Linked DNA regions of Arabidopsis thaliana. The protein of the gene in region 2 interacts with the protein of the main gene of each other region in a pairwise test. Each region holds a gene or a part of one and is shown on either strand. Other genes may lie near its edges.

Evidence for each region. Proteins that work in one complex are often made in the same cells at the same time.
Region 1: the proteins of RAD51 (region 2) and AT3G27120 interact in a two-hybrid assay, tested with the Arabidopsis thaliana proteins (one study listed by BioGRID).

Annotation. Positions count from the first base shown.
Region 1 is NC_003074.8:9,997,738-10,007,095, forward strand, and holds AT3G27120 (P-loop containing nucleoside triphosphate hydrolases superfamily protein), read right to left. Parts: upstream 6,570-9,358; 5' UTR 6,545-6,569; coding exon 6,120-6,544; intron 5,846-6,119; coding exon 5,707-5,845; intron 5,577-5,706; coding exon 5,289-5,576; intron 5,171-5,288; coding exon 4,935-5,170; intron 4,489-4,934; coding exon 4,361-4,488; intron 4,279-4,360; coding exon 4,160-4,278; intron 4,075-4,159; coding exon 3,982-4,074; intron 3,770-3,981; coding exon 3,668-3,769; intron 3,494-3,667; coding exon 3,391-3,493; intron 3,304-3,390; coding exon 3,220-3,303; intron 3,130-3,219; coding exon 3,034-3,129; intron 2,895-3,033; coding exon 2,767-2,894; intron 2,613-2,766; coding exon 2,511-2,612; downstream 1-2,510. Other genes in the region: AT3G27110 (Peptidase family M48 family protein), read left to right, coding at 269-520, 716-773, 855-922, 1,009-1,188, 1,315-1,411, 1,587-1,696, 1,799-1,932, 2,020-2,155; AT3G27140 (Protein phosphatase 2C family protein), read right to left, coding at 9,154-9,288. UniProt on the Arabidopsis thaliana protein: Involved in DNA double-strand break (DBS) repair via homologous recombination (HR). Limits class II meiotic crossover (CO) formation by regulating the invasion step of meiotic HR.
Region 2 is NC_003076.8:7,068,865-7,077,032, forward strand, and holds RAD51 (RAS associated with diabetes protein 51), read right to left. Parts: upstream 4,103-8,168; 5' UTR 3,997-4,102; coding exon 3,901-3,996; intron 3,497-3,900; coding exon 3,352-3,496; intron 3,242-3,351; coding exon 3,131-3,241; intron 3,057-3,130; coding exon 2,965-3,056; intron 2,834-2,964; coding exon 2,739-2,833; intron 2,654-2,738; coding exon 2,540-2,653; intron 2,452-2,539; coding exon 2,322-2,451; intron 2,235-2,321; coding exon 2,113-2,234; coding exon of another isoform or gene 2,049-2,112; exon of another isoform or gene 2,018-2,048; coding exon 1,894-2,017; 3' UTR 1,627-1,893; downstream 1-1,626. Other genes in the region: AT5G20860 (Plant invertase/pectin methylesterase inhibitor superfamily), read right to left, coding at 8,107-8,168. UniProt on the Arabidopsis thaliana protein: Binds to single and double-stranded DNA and exhibits DNA-dependent ATPase activity. Unwinds duplex DNA. Component of the meiotic recombination pathway.

The DNA of each region.
Region 1 (9,358 bases), on a different chromosome or scaffold from region 2:
TAAACTAAGGCCCATGAAAGAAAACACCCACACCGACGTCGTATAGGAAAGATGTAGTCATGTGAAGAAAAAAAATTAACGGTCAACGGGAAAAGGAAAACGATGGCGCGTCAAATGCTAAACCATTAAACTACGGTTGTGGACGGCAAACGCTTGTCGTCTCCGAAACGCAACCGCAGAGAACCCAAATTTATATCATTCTATATCTTCTCTTCTTCACCGGCGTACAATAGCACTCAACTCTTAACTTACGCACCTCTCTTCTCTCATGGCGGTTTCAGTCTCAGCTCCGGTTTTGTCCCTCTGTTACAATCAGAGCGGCGAATTGTCTCGTAGTTTGGGATATAGACTACCGAAGAAAGTGGGATTTAGCTCTGGTCGTCGTTCAGTGAGTTATATCGGTTTCGGTGCGGAGAAAGTTGGAAGATTTAGGGTTAGGGTTCCGATTTGCAGAGCTGTACCTCCTCTCTTGTTCAAAGATCTCGATGCTGATGATTTCCGACATCCTTTTGATAAGCAGGTCCGTAAAAATTCTCCAAATGGTCGTAATTGGAAACTATATATCAAACTTTGATGATGTGATTTGAAATATTTGGTTACTCTTTTGTGTGTGTCACTGTGTTCTTTGTGTTTGTTCGTCGCAATCATCATTTGCTTTTTCAAGAATCTGGTTGATGAAATATCCAAAGTTTGAATGCACTGTCTTTTGATGCAGAACACGTTGTTACTAAGGGCTATACCGGGGTTGAACGAATTCGGCAAAGCTCTTTTAGGTGTGGCTCTTTCTAGTTACTTGGCACAAAGAGAGATTTTGAAACAGATTATGTGATTTAACGACTTTGGGGATGTTGCAGGGTCAATGACGGAGCAGATTATGCTTCTTGAGAACATTGGGACTTCTGTTCTTGTTTCCAAGAATCAGGTTAGTTGTGGATCAGTGTCTTTGTGGACATTATGTATTTGTCTATCAATAGTGATGTGTAATGTTTCTTTTATTTGCTGTCTCAGCTCTCTGATCTTCACGGTTTGTTGGTTGAGGCTGCTGAGATTTTGAATATAGAGGCTCCTGATCTATATGTGCGACAGAGTCCTGTTCCTAATGCGTATACGCTGGCAATAAGCGGTAAGAAGCCGTTTATTGTTGTCCACACCAGCTTGATCGAGCTTCTTACTAGCGCGGAGCTACAGGTAAGATATTTTTTTCTGCATTACAAGTTCAATGCTTTTTGATTGAACCCACTTTTGAACCTAACCATAGATACTACATATTGGCTAATTTTACCAAAATCTGACAGTTTTATACCTCAAAACTAGGCTGTCTTAGCCCATGAACTAGGCCATCTGAAGTGTGATCACGGCGTGTGGCTCACATTTGCAAATATTCTTACTCTTGGGGCTTATACAGTTCCTGGTAGATACCACACTCTTCTACATGTCCAAGTCACTTGTATCTACTGTTCTGTGTCAGTCTGACAAAATTATAGTGACTTCATCCCGGAAATCTATTTATCGACTCACATAAGTTTCAGTTTGCAGCCGGCGTGAAACTCTGTTATTGTTACTAAACTGGATTCTGTTGTTTGTAGCTTTTGGGCAAATGATAGCTCGAACCTTGGAAGAACAGTTACTTCGTTGGCTACGTTCAGCAGAGCTGACTTGTGATCGCGCAGCACTACTCGTCGCCCAAGATCCAAAGGTACCAATTCTAAAAAACAAGAAGAAATCAAACAGAATGCGAAAATACCTAGTGATGTTTATGTTATTGTTCTTATAATCTCTCTTATGTCGCTTCCAAGAGGTTGTTGTATCTGTTCTGATGAAATTAGCCGGAGGATGTCCATCAATCGCTGATCAGCTAAATGTTGACGCATTTCTAGAACAAGCCCGTTCATATGACAAAGCTTCTTCAAGCCCCTTGGGATGGTACATAAGGTGAGAAAATTAAAACTATACAAAATTTAGATTATTCTTCCTTCAGATTCACTTCTTTGTTTGTTTACATATTTTCCTTTTCTACAGAAATGCTCAGACTAGTCAACTTTCGCATCCATTGCCGGTTCTTCGTGCACGTGAGATTGATGAGTGGTCCAGGAGTCTCGAGTACAAAAGTCTCCTGAAACGGGCAAATCGAAAAAGCACAGTACAGAAGGTTTAGTGACGTTGTTAAAGATTTAAAAGGAAGGAAGCGAAATAAACATGTATAGGTAAGTTTCATATAAGCACACATTTGTATATGAACCTGAGTTTTTACTTTTGTGGGTCGTTTTAAGGTTTGTCTTGAATTCTTGGACAGGAACAATACAGAAGGAGCAAAGAAGAAATGAGAGATTGGACTCTAGGTCTAAATAGGTACTGTAAAACTCTTGTATTTATTTAGTGGCATACTGGCATTGTTGTATATCTTATAACTGTAATAGATAAATTCAAATGTATATTCCGGAAAACAAAAGGGCCTTAGCTCAAAGATAATATATGATAAAGATTGTTTGTATAACTCACCTGTCTCAGTCTTAGAGGCTTAAACTACCAAACTGATTGTTCCAATTTTCATAGATTCCAAGTTCGTTCTGAGAAACAGAAGGCCTTACTTCTTGCAATGCGTCTTTAAAGTCCTGCATAATGACCAAATATATGAAACAATGACAGAAACAAAAAGAATTCGTTTAGCTTTACATGTTTGTATTCACAGAGTTCGCATATCATCAATTTAAGTTTGACCCGAAACATGATGATACCACAAAAAATCTTCATTTTGATTTTATGTACCTGAAGAGTTACTAGACGCATGTCATCTTTAGTCAGGTTAGTTATATCTATGCCTCGTTTGAGAGCTTCTCTTAATGGACCCATAGTTGCATCTTTCACCAGGTTCTTCATATCTGATCCCGAGTACCCTGCAGTGAAATTTAATGAAAAGCTAGCTTGGTTATGGCCGCAAATGTGTATTTGCATTTTTGGGTTGTGTTCTTTGGACTTTAAAGATCAAAAATCCAGAGATTTATTGTGTTTCTGAAGTTCCTATGATGAATTTACCTTCCGTTAGGTTGCATATGATGTTCATATCATCATCCGACAGAGTAAACAACCCATCTTTCTTTAGGAGATTCTGTATTATCCATGCTCTTGCTTCTTCAATTCGAAAACAGAGAATCGTGTCAAGAGAGTATATTAGACGAAAACCAGAGAATGACATGAAAAAGTTTGTTTATCATTCTTTACCAGATGAAGGAAGAGGAATGTAGAGTCTCTTGGTTAGTCGTCTTCTTGCTGCTTCATCGAGCTCTTGCGGTCTATTTGTTGCTCCTAACAAACAAAAAAAATTAGCAGAATAAAGTTACTAAACCCCATATAACCCACAAAACTCAAACCTTACTGTTCCCAGTTTTTTACCTATTAGGAGAATTTGCTCGCTGCCACTGTCGAAACCTTCCATTTCAATCAGGAATTGTGTCTTGAGTCTTCTACTCGATTCATGTTCACCATCTGACTTACGCTGTGGCAAAGGGTGAAAGTTCGTTTCTTTAATAGAATGTTACATAAGGAAACCAATACATGCCAGAAAATTGTCTTTACTGAACCACCCTTTGTAATTTTTTCCAGCCCTTGTTCTACGCTGATAGGTTTGAGGGTTTATGAACATGTAATATTTTGAGAGATTACAACAAACCTGAGATAGTAGAGAATCTATTTCATCGACAAATATTACTGCAGGCTGGCGGCAACTCGCAACTCCAAAAAGGGCCCTCACTAGCTTTTCACCTTCGCCAATCTGCATTTACATTTGTGATCGTTAAATTTGCAGGTGACCGTAAAGCAAATGAATAAGCATGCTATAGACATCTTGAGCAGGAACAAAATCACTGACATACAGAAAATGGTACGGGTTTCCCTGCTATGTAGAAGTTCTGACATAGTGGAACATAATTACTGTCGTAATTTTACGAATATCCATGTGAAAGTAAGCAAAGAAGTGGAACTAACCCACTTGCTTGTCAATGAACTGGCTGATATATAGAAAAAGGTTGCTTTCGCTTCTCCAGCTATAGCTTTTCCAATCATTGTTTTACCAGTTCCCTGGTATGCAGTAGATACAGATCTAAGAAAAAACAGACACGAGTGTCATTTCATCTTAAATATCAAAATGGACAAGGGTACCTACTGGTGGGCCAAAGAGAAGAAGTCCTTTTCCAGGTGAACGACAACCTTTGAAAATGTCAGGACGCAACAATGGCCAAATGACCATCTCAGTTACACACTTTTTAGCATGCTCCAGACCAGCTGCACATCAATAACTTATGATGAGAAACTCCAGGTGCAACAGGGATAATAATATACACTGCACTGAAACATCTTACTGTACCAATATCATCCCAGCGGACATTGGGGTCTCGATCCATAATCTCGTTGCTGACATGCTCTATAAGACGAGGTTCCAAATTTCTCAACTTCTCGGGAAGCTCACCATCAGGACCACAGAGCATCTCCAAACTAGAACAGGATAGTAAGTAAATGGGCATGCATGTTATCTCATAATATAAAATTAATCTTTTCAGGCTTACAGGCGTAGAAGGCTACTGGATAATTAGAAACTTATGTGAAGTAGCATTCTAAATAAGAACGAGGGCCTAACTGGCTAACCACCAGATGAGTGTAGACGCTTAAATTGCTAGTCCTATTGACATGCATATACTATTTTTTATTTACTTTTCATAGTGTTTCAATGTGAAATAAATTCAAAAAATGTTTAATATAGAAACTTAGTTAGAGAAGGGCAGAGACAGGCATAGCCTATCTAGGTGAAAATCAAGAAATATTGACAAGAAAAACAGATTACATAAGCTTATTTATTGTCGAAGGTGAGGATATAAAAAGGGTGCATGTGCTTTCCAGTTTGCTAAGGATCTTGAATCAAAATAAGAAATTACGCAACTAACCATGTTCTGGTTGAGTCATCCAGTGCATCGTCAGTCTTTCCACCAATACGAGACGTCAAGTTTCCAACATTATTCCCATTAGTTTTAACAGGAGGGACAAAATTACTACGGTATCCACGTCTTAATCCACCCGACCTTGAACCATAGCCCCTACCTAAAGCATTTTTGTCACTCTGTGGAGAAAGACATGAACTTGGTGACTCAGTTGATCCTCGTTTTTGTCTTACATCCATTTCCTAAAGCAACAGATATAGTAGTCAACATTAGCAAAGGGTAATAAAGCACAGTTCGAAAGAAAAGACTCTGCAAAGTCAAGATGACTCTAAGAGAAGTAATTGTCATGAATAAATCTACCAGTTTTATTTTGGCGGATACAAATCCATTAGGAGCTCCATCTTCCTTTACTTCCCCATCATTTGCAAGGCTACTGGTTTCTGCATGAGGTCGCTTTGTTCCAAAACCAAATCCATGACTTCTCTCAACAATGACACATTCATCAGAGGCACGGTCTTGATTGTTCACTGAAGTTTTGCGCTGATTATCTGGTTTACCAATACTGTTTCCATACAATGATGTCAGTTTGGCTTGCATCATTGACTTTGGTGCTTTGGGAATCAACTTATCCGTATCATGCCGTTCTTCCTGAAACAAGAAAACATCTATGAAATCATAGTAGAAACAGGAAGCAAGACATATAACATGGCTGTGTTTCCAAAACTCATCACCAATACTAAGATCATTGAAGAAATGAAGCAGTTTACAAGAGCATTACCATCTCTTTAACACCCTTTCCGTTAGATTGACTGACATGAAAACCAAAGTACTTAGACTGCTTAATCTTTTCCACATCAAATCCACCTTTGCTGCCAAAAATTGCCCCTGGAGCTGTATTTGCAAGCTCAAACGCCTTCCTGGATACAACAAGAAGCACACCATAAAAGGGTACTCTAAAAATCTCAAGTGTAGCTAATATTGACGATAATTCAAAAAGATCTTTAGATTTCAGCTAGTAACTAAGTGAACGAAGTCCAAAGATTAGAGAATATCACTCAGTTATACATTTCCCTGATTCCAATACCCAACAATTCAAGCCACACTCATAAGACTCTACTAAGCTAAGCAAGTAAAATTCGAACCCTCTCTTCTTCGAAATTAAACAGGCTCAAAGGGGAAAAGCTCAGGTACCGATCCGAATCTGAAACGAGGCCTTCCAAAGCTAAATCAATCTTAGAGGCAACTTCACGACGAATGGGACCAATGAAATCACGATCGGCGTCAGTGACAGAACGAGAATCGAGGAAACCTAGAAGACGAAGCCCAAGGATCTGAGCAGAAGAGAAATCAGATTTCTCCAGGAATTTGTCGGCGCCGAAGAGCAGCGATTGGAGACGCTTCAAGTTCTCATCCACTTCCTTTCTCCAACACGGCGTCTCCGTTTCTCCTTCCTCCTTCACATTCAGAAACTCCGGTGGTGGTCTCAGTAACGGAGAAGAAAACGGCGACGAACGCTTTCCCGCCATTATCCTCTCTTCCTCTTTCCCCAAATGCCCAAAACCCCAGAAATGAAATTCAAATTCGCGCTCAGAATCTGAAACCACCGACCCACACATTCCTTTACTCTCTCACCAGCTTGACGCGTAGAACGTCATGCAGTGTAATAGTGTAGATAGAAACGGCGTGTAGTTTCCTTAGAAATCAGTTGCTTATCGGGCCCAGTTTCTTCATGGGCAATAGTAAGCCCGTTATTGTCTGTATTTTGGGTTTTACTGTGTTTCGGATATGCTTCCTCTAAACTTTCGTCTTTATTTTTTATATTTTTACATAGAGAATATTAGGCACTTAAAAATCATTAGGCACTTTGACTAATTGCAATTACTTGTTTACCCTCAAATCGTCGGTTATATATAACCAAACAAATCAAACCCATTTTCATTAAACCAATTCCGGTTACGAAACCCACGATTTTGATTTTGCAGTTACCATAATCTCTTGTTTTATTTTTTCCGGAACTGTAAAAAAAAACAAATCCAGAAAAAACCTAAACTACAGTTTCAGAAAAGGTGACTCCGACGACGGGATATCAATCTCCTCCGTTACTGTCTACCACCACTACGGTTTACACTACTTTCTTTCTTCTTCTCTCCACCGTAAAACTCCAATAATCGATTTCGTAATCTCAACCACTTTATACCCTTGTGACTTCGGCGAGGGGATATCAATCTCCTCTTTAATGGATTTGGATTTCGTTACTCTAATTCAACTTCAATTGAGTAGATTTCGAGAAAAAGTTCTTGAATTACTAAGGTAAAGTTATGTGATGTTGGGTTCTATATTCTTTGGTTTATCCAATTTGATATGGCGTCCGCAAATATTCCTCGATTCGAATCTTCGGCGATCATAAATCTTGCACTGAATACTATGGAAGAGAAGCTACCAAGATCGCTCAAGAATCTCGACTTGAATACGAACCTTGTACCAAAGATTAAGATTCTTCTTTCAGCTTATCTATCTTCCTCACGTAAGTCTCACTTTCAACAATTTTTTTTCTCGAGCTGGGCTAAATTTGGTGTTAAGCATGGCTGGTGATATTTAGGAGTTGGAATTTGACAAAGTTTTCTACTAGTTTGCTTCAATCGCTGGAATGTCTCCATTGAAATCGAAACCTCCATCTCTTGTGAGATTATGTTATTAGGAAACATTTAGAGGAAATGATTCCTTGTTTAGCTGAAATCTATGTTATATTTCCATAAAGCGACGTTTATGTGAACAAATTTATGTGGACTTGTTATCATGGATATGTTATGGACAAATTAGTATTTGAAATTGTAATTGACGGTTGTGTAACGGATTGTGTTATGGACTCACCATTCTCGTAACATGATTAAAGATAATGAAACGAGATTGACTATTGATAATTGTGTGTTTATTAAACTTTCGCACCGGTGAAGAGATTAGTCCCTTGAACTTGTGATTGTTTATGTTATATCTTGAGATGTTTGGTATTTAAAATCAAACTTTGACTTGTATTTAAAACTTAAAATCCAATCGAGAAGATCTAGCAGTGTTAAATGAACAGAGCTTTGTGGACAACGATATTTGGACACGTTTCTTTTTACCTTCCTCTCGTACTTTACTTGAACTTGTCTCTAAGTTTGCTGTCAAATTATATGGCTTTTTGAGTATTTAACGTCTCGTCAATGCCAAAGTATTCATATCAAATGAACCATTTCAAGTGTATGATCCAATATAGATTAATTGAACACCAAAAAATTCATTATATGCTTCTATTTCCAATGTTGTGGTATCCATTTTGTATTGTCCATATGAACAATGTACTTTTGCAGGTTCGGTGACCATTTTTGTATGTTGGTTTCCTCTTTTGTACCCAAAATAGTTTCCATCGACTATTAACTCAAAAAACTATTTTTTCAATCTCTTTTTTTCAATAATTTTGGGTTTTGGTTATCCTTATAAATCATAACTATTCTTCAATTTGTAATTGATCCGTACAAGTATAACTATATATGGTCAACACGAAATGGTCGCTTGTGGATGGCTACTTGTAAAGTGTTAGAGTATACTTTGAGACCTGAGATGCACATCAAGAAACTTGGTTACATATCATTGTTACTTAACTGTCTATACACATGTGGATAAATGGTCATAATGGATAATGTACTTTGGATTGACGTTTATTGTTCCTCGTATAAACTTATGTATTAGTATGAAACTACCATGTGAGTTATTAGATGACCATATGGACTAGACTGCTTGGATAGTTTCTTGTTCATGTATAAACTTATGTATTAGTATGAAACTACCATGTGAGTCACTAGATAACCATATGGACTGGACTTCTTGGACATTCATTAATGGACAAGTATGTCTTTGATTTGCTGCGAATGTGTTTATAGCTCGATAAAATTAACACTTTTTTGTTTGCTCATTCAACATTAACATTGGAGTCCAACTCGATCAAATTCTTAGCACCATCATAAAGCTCAATGTTTATACCAGACAAGATCAACATAAGCCACATTGAGTTTAGCTTTGTTCACTCAATTTTTTTTTTGCCGTCTGGTATAATATTAATTGAAAAGTCAAAACAGAGTATAGAGCATACATCCATAAAAAAACAGAGCATGAAAACTCCAAACAATAACCAAAGGTAAAGAAAAAAAAAATCCAAAGGTAAAGAAAAGAAAATTTCACAAAGTCATCATCGCTTGTCTTCTTCAATTCTGGAAAGTAACCATCCAGGGCCTCCTCTAGCTAAATAAGATCTGAAACGACCATCCCTTGTCACACTTATAGCAATGTCCCTTGCTATTGAATTCGCCTTTGAGGATGAAACCTTGAAAATGACTCGAAAAAACCTGGGAATGAGTGAATTAAGTAAAACAAAAGGACTAAATCATAGAAAT
Region 2 (8,168 bases):
GTTTCTTCTGCTGCAATCGAATCGAGAACAAATGCGAGAGACTAATAGAAAGAGAAAAGAGGTAAGCAAGTAGAGAGACCCGATCACGAGTCCAGAAGCTCCAAAGAAACGAAGAAGGAAGCTCAGATTCGCAGATGAAACAGAAGATGAGATTACGAATTGGTAAAATTTGAAAAAAGAAGACAAGTATATATGAGGAAGAAGAAGAAGAGGATAGAGAGAAAAAGAAGGGTTTATGATATAGAGAGAGATGATGATGATGATAATAGTTTTCTCAGCTGTTTCCTTTGTTTGTGTCGAGAGACAAAGGAGAAGATTGGATCGGGGAAGAGAGAGAGAGAGAGACGACGACGACGACGCAACAAAACCACAATTTCTCTCTTCTTTAAAACAAAAAAGATTTTTTTAAGGGATCTTTAAATTAAAAAGAAAAAAAAAGAGCCCGTGACGAAGCAATATATACTAACAGCTGTCTGGCCGCTAATGGAATAGCTGCACTTTCGAGGACTTATGTTATGTACTCTCTCTCTTTCTCTCTTTATCCAGTTTTCCAGTTACACCTATAATTCTGAGTAACTTTAGTTAATAAGAATAAATAGTATATAGAACTAAATGTGTTTGGTAAAAAAAAAGAATAAAGTAAATGAAAATCATTTGTAGACTTGATACAAAAATACTAATGATTTTTTTTTATATATGTAGAGGATGAGTCATTCTAACAAAAGTTTTGTTAATACTAAAAAGGTACAAACAAATCATGTTTTGAATATTGGAGATGGTGATGTCAACAACAGAAAAAATGAAAATTATCTGAGAAAGTATGACAAAAACATGATAAACTATTTTAGTGTTCTTATGACAATTTTTATTATAATAATTAGACTTCTATCGAATCACAATTTGTGAGTTTATAGAATCACAATATGTGAATCACAATTACTAATTAAACCATTGGAGATGGTGATGCTTTTATGTTTTAAAATTGTAATAATATGGATTTTTCGTTGTTAAATAAAAAGAAATGTGATTAAATGCCTATTAGTATATAAAAAACATGATAAACCATAAGACATTCTAATTGTAAGTAATGGTTAGTTAATATTTGATTGTTCACTAAGTAATATATCTATATATACATTTTTGCAGCCACTTTGTGAAATAAATCCTAGAGTTGGAATTTATTTACAGTGGCTGCCACTGGCATTTAATAATTGTTTTTGATAATTAGAAAGAAAATCTTTGAATTAAATATTTGACAATCTTCCCAAAATCTCTTCACATTAACTACACGATTAGTTATTAAAATAAAACTTCCGAAATATTTAATATCATTTAATTACTACAAAATTATCATTTTGATATTGTTTTTCTACATGACTATAATAATTCGATTATAATCATCAAACCGCAGAGATATTAGATAGCATTTAATTACTACAAAATTAAAAAATATTTAGACAATGATTCATAAACATATCATAAATAAAATCAGTGAGTTTTTTTTACGGGACGGATTGGCGGGACGTTACTTAATAACAATCGTAAACTATAAAATAAAAATATTTTTACGATAAATATAATTTGCAAACTTTTATATATAGTAACTTTAAAAAATAAATTGTCTCCGCGGTATACCGTGGGTTAAAATTTAGTAGTGTTGTATAAACCACGAGGCTGTGTGCGTTTGTGAAACACAAAAGGTTCATTACCCGAAAAACTTTACTTACAAAGCTCTTTTGCTCCATCATCACTTACTTGTACGCTTACACTATGATCAACAGTTAAAAACAAAAACAAAAGAAAACGGTTTTTTGACATCAATACAAGTGAAGGGGTTGCTAAAAAAAAGCACATAAGGCAGAGAGAAGCAAGGCATTGTTGTGGCCAAAAACATCAATCCTTGCAATCTGTTACACCTTCTGTAGATATTTGAAATCGAGCTTCCGCTTCTGGCAAACATGGCGAGCTTATCACTTTACAGATTCTCTCCTCTGCTCTTCCTTTCCTCAACGCCAACCTGTATCAATTATCATAACAAACACACTTTCCTAACGAACCCTAACAAAAAACACTAAGAAACATGGATTTGTCGAATTTGCAAACATTACAGACCTTGTTGTGGTGGCATGAGCCATGATATTCCCACCAATCGGCTTAAATTGGGGACCAGCAAAAAGAGCTGAACCATCTACTTGCGCAACTACTTGGTTTGTTATAACAACAGCCACACCAAACTAGAGCCATTAAACATAAGAGAGAATACTTCAGGATGGTGTCTCAGAGCAATATTGGAAAAGAAACAGTTAGTACTGAATGTTCACCTCATCTGCTAACTTCTGAAGACTTCTCAAGAACTTTGCAAGATGCATTTGTCGAGCCGAAAGCTCTCCCCTTCCAGAGAAATCTGTTCTGTAGAGAGCGGTAGCACTATCGACAATCAGGAGAGCAAACCTGTGCCAATAGGGTCATCGTAACTTTAAAAGTTAGCACTCTCATGATAGACATAACGGAACTGAACACCAAAATAAACTCAACACACCTTGTTTCAATCATCATTGATGCTGCTTCAAGCAAAAGCCTTGACTGATGATCTGTATTATACGCCCTCGCATAGGCAACGTTTTCTAGTACATCAGCTCCATTTAATCCAAACCTGCATCATTTCATTTGATTTCTTACAGATGATTCCGTCTCAAGAACGCTATTGTGATCTCATGTGTGTTACAAGAATAACATACCTGTCAGCTATCTGTAAGAGTCTTTGTGGCCTGAATGTTCCCTCAGCATCAATGTACATGGCCTTTCCCTCTCCACCTCCTTGATCCATGGGAAGCTAATCATTCAAACGTGAACCTTAATGTGAATATCTTTCTCAGGTTTGGAAATTGTAAGAAGAAAGACAAGATCACTGATTTCTGCTAGATAAGCAACAATAACTGAGTGGTATAGGAACAGGGTTCTTACTTGACAAGTCACACACAGTGTATGGCACAGCTGAGTCTTTCCAGAGCGGAACTCACCATATAACTCTGTGATGGAACCAGTTTCAATACCTCCTGTTGAGCATACGGCAAAGTAAGATCACAATAACAAAATGCCGTTATAAGATGCACCAGAAACCAGCACCAACCTTCTAGAACTTTATCGAGCTCCCGTGATCCAGAGGTAATCTGAATAATTTCCTGTCTCTGAGCATGGAGCTGGCTCGCACTAGTGAACCCCAGAGGAACTAGCTTTGAAGCTATCACAGAAGAAAACACAAATAAGAACACACATTAACTCTAAGAGTATCAAAGAGGTGTTATGTATTTAACAGAGAAGGAAAGCAAAAAGTTTCTACATGTGTAATACCTGCTTCTACAATCTTGTCAACCTTGGCATCACTAATTCCTTTAATCTGCAAGAGATCCTTCCTCGGAGTATAAGCAACACCTTCAACAGTACAGAGACCAGCATCCCTAAGCTTCTTTACATCAACAGAAGCAATACCTGCTGCCTGAAGTTTTGAAGATTTAAAGAGATGAAATAGCATATAATCATAACACAAAACACACTGATGCATCTCCCTTTTATGAACACGAATTGAGAAGAACTATAGAGATTATATGACACTGGAGTCACAGCAATAGAGAAGTTCCCCAGAAAAGGATAAAACCCCCAAAAAGTGTCGATTTTTTTCTGAATTAAACGAACCCCTAAAACCAATTCGCCTAACAGACAGTAGCGAAACTCAATTCTCGCCCAGATTCACACCTATTTCACATCGCGATGTACAAAAAAAGCAGAAATTTTTAGTGAATTAAAGCCGAACCCATTTCAATTAGCGCAAGATCTGATGAAGCGTATAGACTGCGAAGGTAAATTTCCACAACAAATGAAAGAAATCTGCAGAAATTGAACCTGAAGCTGTTCGACAGGGAAAGGTCCGTGCTGGGTTTCTTCATCGTCTTGTTGTTGGACAGCATTCTGGTTTCTACGCTGCTCCATCGTCGTCATTTCTCTCAATCAGAGCAGATTCGGGTCACCAGAGAAAGCGAGAGAAGCAAAAGAGAGCTTGAGAGTGGAGGGAAATGGCGAAACTGAAAACAAATTGAAAGAAGCGCCACAACCAAAATTATTATACAAGACGACGATGAGGGCAAAGGCTTCTTCAACAAGTCTCGATTACGTTTGGGTCAGCTTTTCCTCGGCCTTGATCATATTGGGCTTTAAAGGCTATTAAAGCCCAAATTCTTATTCTATAAAATACTCAAAAACAACAACAAAATCCTCCTCATTTTTATTATTAATTAAGTACCATAGTAATTTTAAATTTTCAGTTAAATGCATGAAATTATAAATGTTAGATATTATCAAAGTTGATCGAATTATGGATTCTCAAAATTATTTTTTTATTTTAAATTATTTTTACTTAAAATTATATATTTTTAAAACACTAAATTAACGTTTTGTAAAAACAATAGGTGTTTGACCGCCGAGTGATACCTAGGTGTTTGAATGTCAACCAAATGGTACCTAGGTGTTTGACCGCCGAGAACCACCACAATTCCAACAATGTAGTAATCACTTATTATAACAAAAATAAAATATTACAAATATCACAAAATTTGTCAATTTTCTTTATTCAAGATGATATTTAATTTTTTTTGGTAAACTAAAACATATAGGGCCCAACCGGGTTCGAACCGGTGACCTATTGATCTGCAGTCAATTGCTCTACCACTGAGCTATGAACCCTTATTGATTTAATAAGTTCAAAATTATAAACTATGTATTTCATGAATTATTTTTTGCTAAGAAATCTAATATAGTTAAGTCAATTGTTTACTTATTTAGAAATCACATAAATTATTTATAAAAAAAAATTCACAAACAAATTAAACCATGAAAGTTTTTTAAAAAAATTTCAGTTGTTAAAGAATTATATGCAAAAACAGGTCAAAATTTGTTTTATTCAAGATGAAAAATTGCTAGCTAAAACCTTGAAATATAAGATTAGTGAACTACTTGACGCTAAATGCTAATCAAATATATAACTAAAACTCTTATAAAAAATTATTGGTAAACTGAAAACATATAGGGCCCAACCGGGTTCGAACCGGTGACCTATTGATCTGCAGTCAATTGCTCTATCACTGAGCTATGGACCCTTATTGATTTAATAAGTTCAAAATTGTAAATTATTTATTTCATCAATTTTTTTTTGCTAAGAAATCTAATATAGTTAAGTCAATTGTTTACTTATTTAGAAATCACATAAATTATTTAAAAAACAAAATTCACAAACAAATTAAACCATGAATTTTTTTTAAAAAAAATTCAGTTACTAAAGAATTATATACAAAAACTGATCAAAATTTGTTTTATTCAAGATGAAAAATTGCTAGCTAAAACGTTGAAATATAAGATTAGTCAACTACTTGATGCTAAATGCTAATCAAATATATAACTAAAGCTCTTCTAAAAAATTATTGGTAAATTGAAAAAATATAGGGCCCAACCAGGTTCAAACCGGTGACCTATTGATCTGCAGTCAATTGCTCTACCACTGAGCTATGGACCTTTATTGATTTAATAAGTTCAAAATTATAAATTATTTATTTCATCAATTTTTTCTTGCTAAGAAATCTAATATATTTAAGTCAATTGTTTACTTATTTAGAAATCACATAAATTATTTTAAAAAAAATATTCACAAACAAATTAAACCATGAATTTTTTTTTAAAAAAAAAATTCAGTTGCTAAAGAATTATATATAAAAACTGGTCAAAATTTGTTTTATTCAGGATGAAAAATTGCTAGCTAAAACCTTGAAATATAAGATTAGCCAACTACTTGACGCTAAATGCTAATCAAATATATAACTAAAGCTCTTATAAAAAAATATTGGTAAACTGAAAAAATATAGGGCCCAATCGGGTTCGAACCGGTGACCTATTGATCTGCAGTCAATTGCTCTACCACTGAGCTATGGACCTTTATTGCTTTAATAAGTTCAAAATCATAAATTGTTTATTTCATTAATTGTTTTTTTGCTAAGAAATCTAATATAAGCAAGTCAATTGTTTACTTATTTAGTAATCATATAAATTATCAAAAACAATTTTCACAAACAAATTAAACCTTGAAATTATAAAGAAAAACATATTCACTTGCTAAAGAATTATATACAAAAACTTGTCAAAGATGTTTTATTAAAAATGAAATATTGCGAGCTAGAACCTTGAAATATAAGATTAGTTAGCTACTAGTTGCTAAAAGCTAATCAAATGTATAAATAAAGCTCTAATAAAAAATTGTTGATAAACTGTAAAAATTATAAGATTTAATCGGATTTAAAACGGTGACTTATTGATCTGCAATCAATTGCTTTACCACCGAAATATAAACCTTATTGCTTTATTAATTATAAAGTTTTAAATTATTATTTTTAGTCCTTACGTTGTCAAGTCAAATATTTACTAATGTAGTATCTTATTATATAAAGTATGGTTTTCAAAGTTACTAACTCATAGGATCGTGCAACGTGTCAAGTCAAACGATCAGATGTTTACATATTTCATTCAAAATTTATTTTTTTATTCTTTTTAAAAAATAGAAAATCTTAAAAAGTAAACAAATATACATATACTAATTTATATATCTATATATTTATAAACAATTAACATTTATTCAACAAAAGGAAAATTAACAAATTTGTCTTTAACTAATGTAATCATAAGTGAAAATAGAACATTTTGAGAAAAATAACTTAGCTTATAGGATTTAACTTTTCAATTATTTTTAACGAGAATATTTTTATTTATTAATTTTAACTCATTTAATATTAATTTGCATGATGTAAAATTAACTTACGAGATTACGGCATATATAAAAAACAATATTCAATAATGTTTGGTTTCTAAATATTTTTGTGGATTTCTGTTTTTTTATTAATTATTAGCCCTAGGCGTTTGGGTATTCGGGTCGAGTATTTTGGGTTCGGGTTTTGGGACTTAGAAGTTTAGGACCCGTTCGGGTAATTTAAGATTTCGGGTCGGGTTCGGTTCGGATTCCAGTTTATTTATCTATTGAAATATCAAATTTTGTCTGCAAATCTATTAAATTACTTGAAAATTTTAAAAATTCCCAAAACAACACGAATAGTTTTGCTTGAATATATCTAAAAATACACAAAAATAACTAAAATATCCAAAACATCCTAATATTTTATATATATAAGTATAAATATAACTAATATATACTTATATTTGAGATATGTTTGGATACCTATTCGGGTTTGGGTTCGGGTTTTTCGGGTTTTGAAGTTTAGACCCGTTCGGGTATTTGAAAATTTTGGGTCCGGGTTCGGATCGGGTTTTTCGGGTCGGTTCTTCGGGTTTGGGTATTATGCGTAGGCCTATTAATTATGTTTTGTTAATTGTTAATTATTTTTAATACTAATTAGGATATAGATTTGATATGTCATAAATATTATTTTGATATGAAACTCAATATGAAGTTGTAGAATTTAAATCGAGTTTATTATGATGACATATATAGTTAAACTGTATTACAAAATTGAATGGTGTAAGATAGAAATTTTTTTTTTTTTTTTTTTTCTAGATACTAAATTAAATATAGAATAATGGTCGGTTACTTTCTAGAATTCAAATATCATTGATAAGATTGAGTGTATATAAAATTAAAATAAAATGTATAAGACTGAAATTTTGTTTACACCAATAATTATTAAATTAAATATCAAGAAAAATATATAAATTGCTATACAATATTCAAATATTATCGATAAAAATTTATTTTTGTATCTTACAACCGCCTAAATAGGCGGCCTTATCTAGTATTCATATAAAATATCATAAACAATTATCACTAACAATTTGGTATGCTCTTTCATTTGTTTGACCAAAAGAAAAAGAAGAAAGTCTTACATTTAAGTTTCAAATATATTCATGACCATACCAAATTGAATTTACATTCGATGGTTAACTCTAAATTGTATCTTTTTTTTTGGTGTAAAAACTCTAAATTTGTATCTTAATCTTAAACTTATACTTAAAACCATTAGTGACGTCTTCTCCATTTCTTCTCTTTACTTTTTTTCACTAAATCCCGGAAGTGAAACGAACTCCCGTAGAGGGCAACCAAGAAACTCCATCTAGGAATT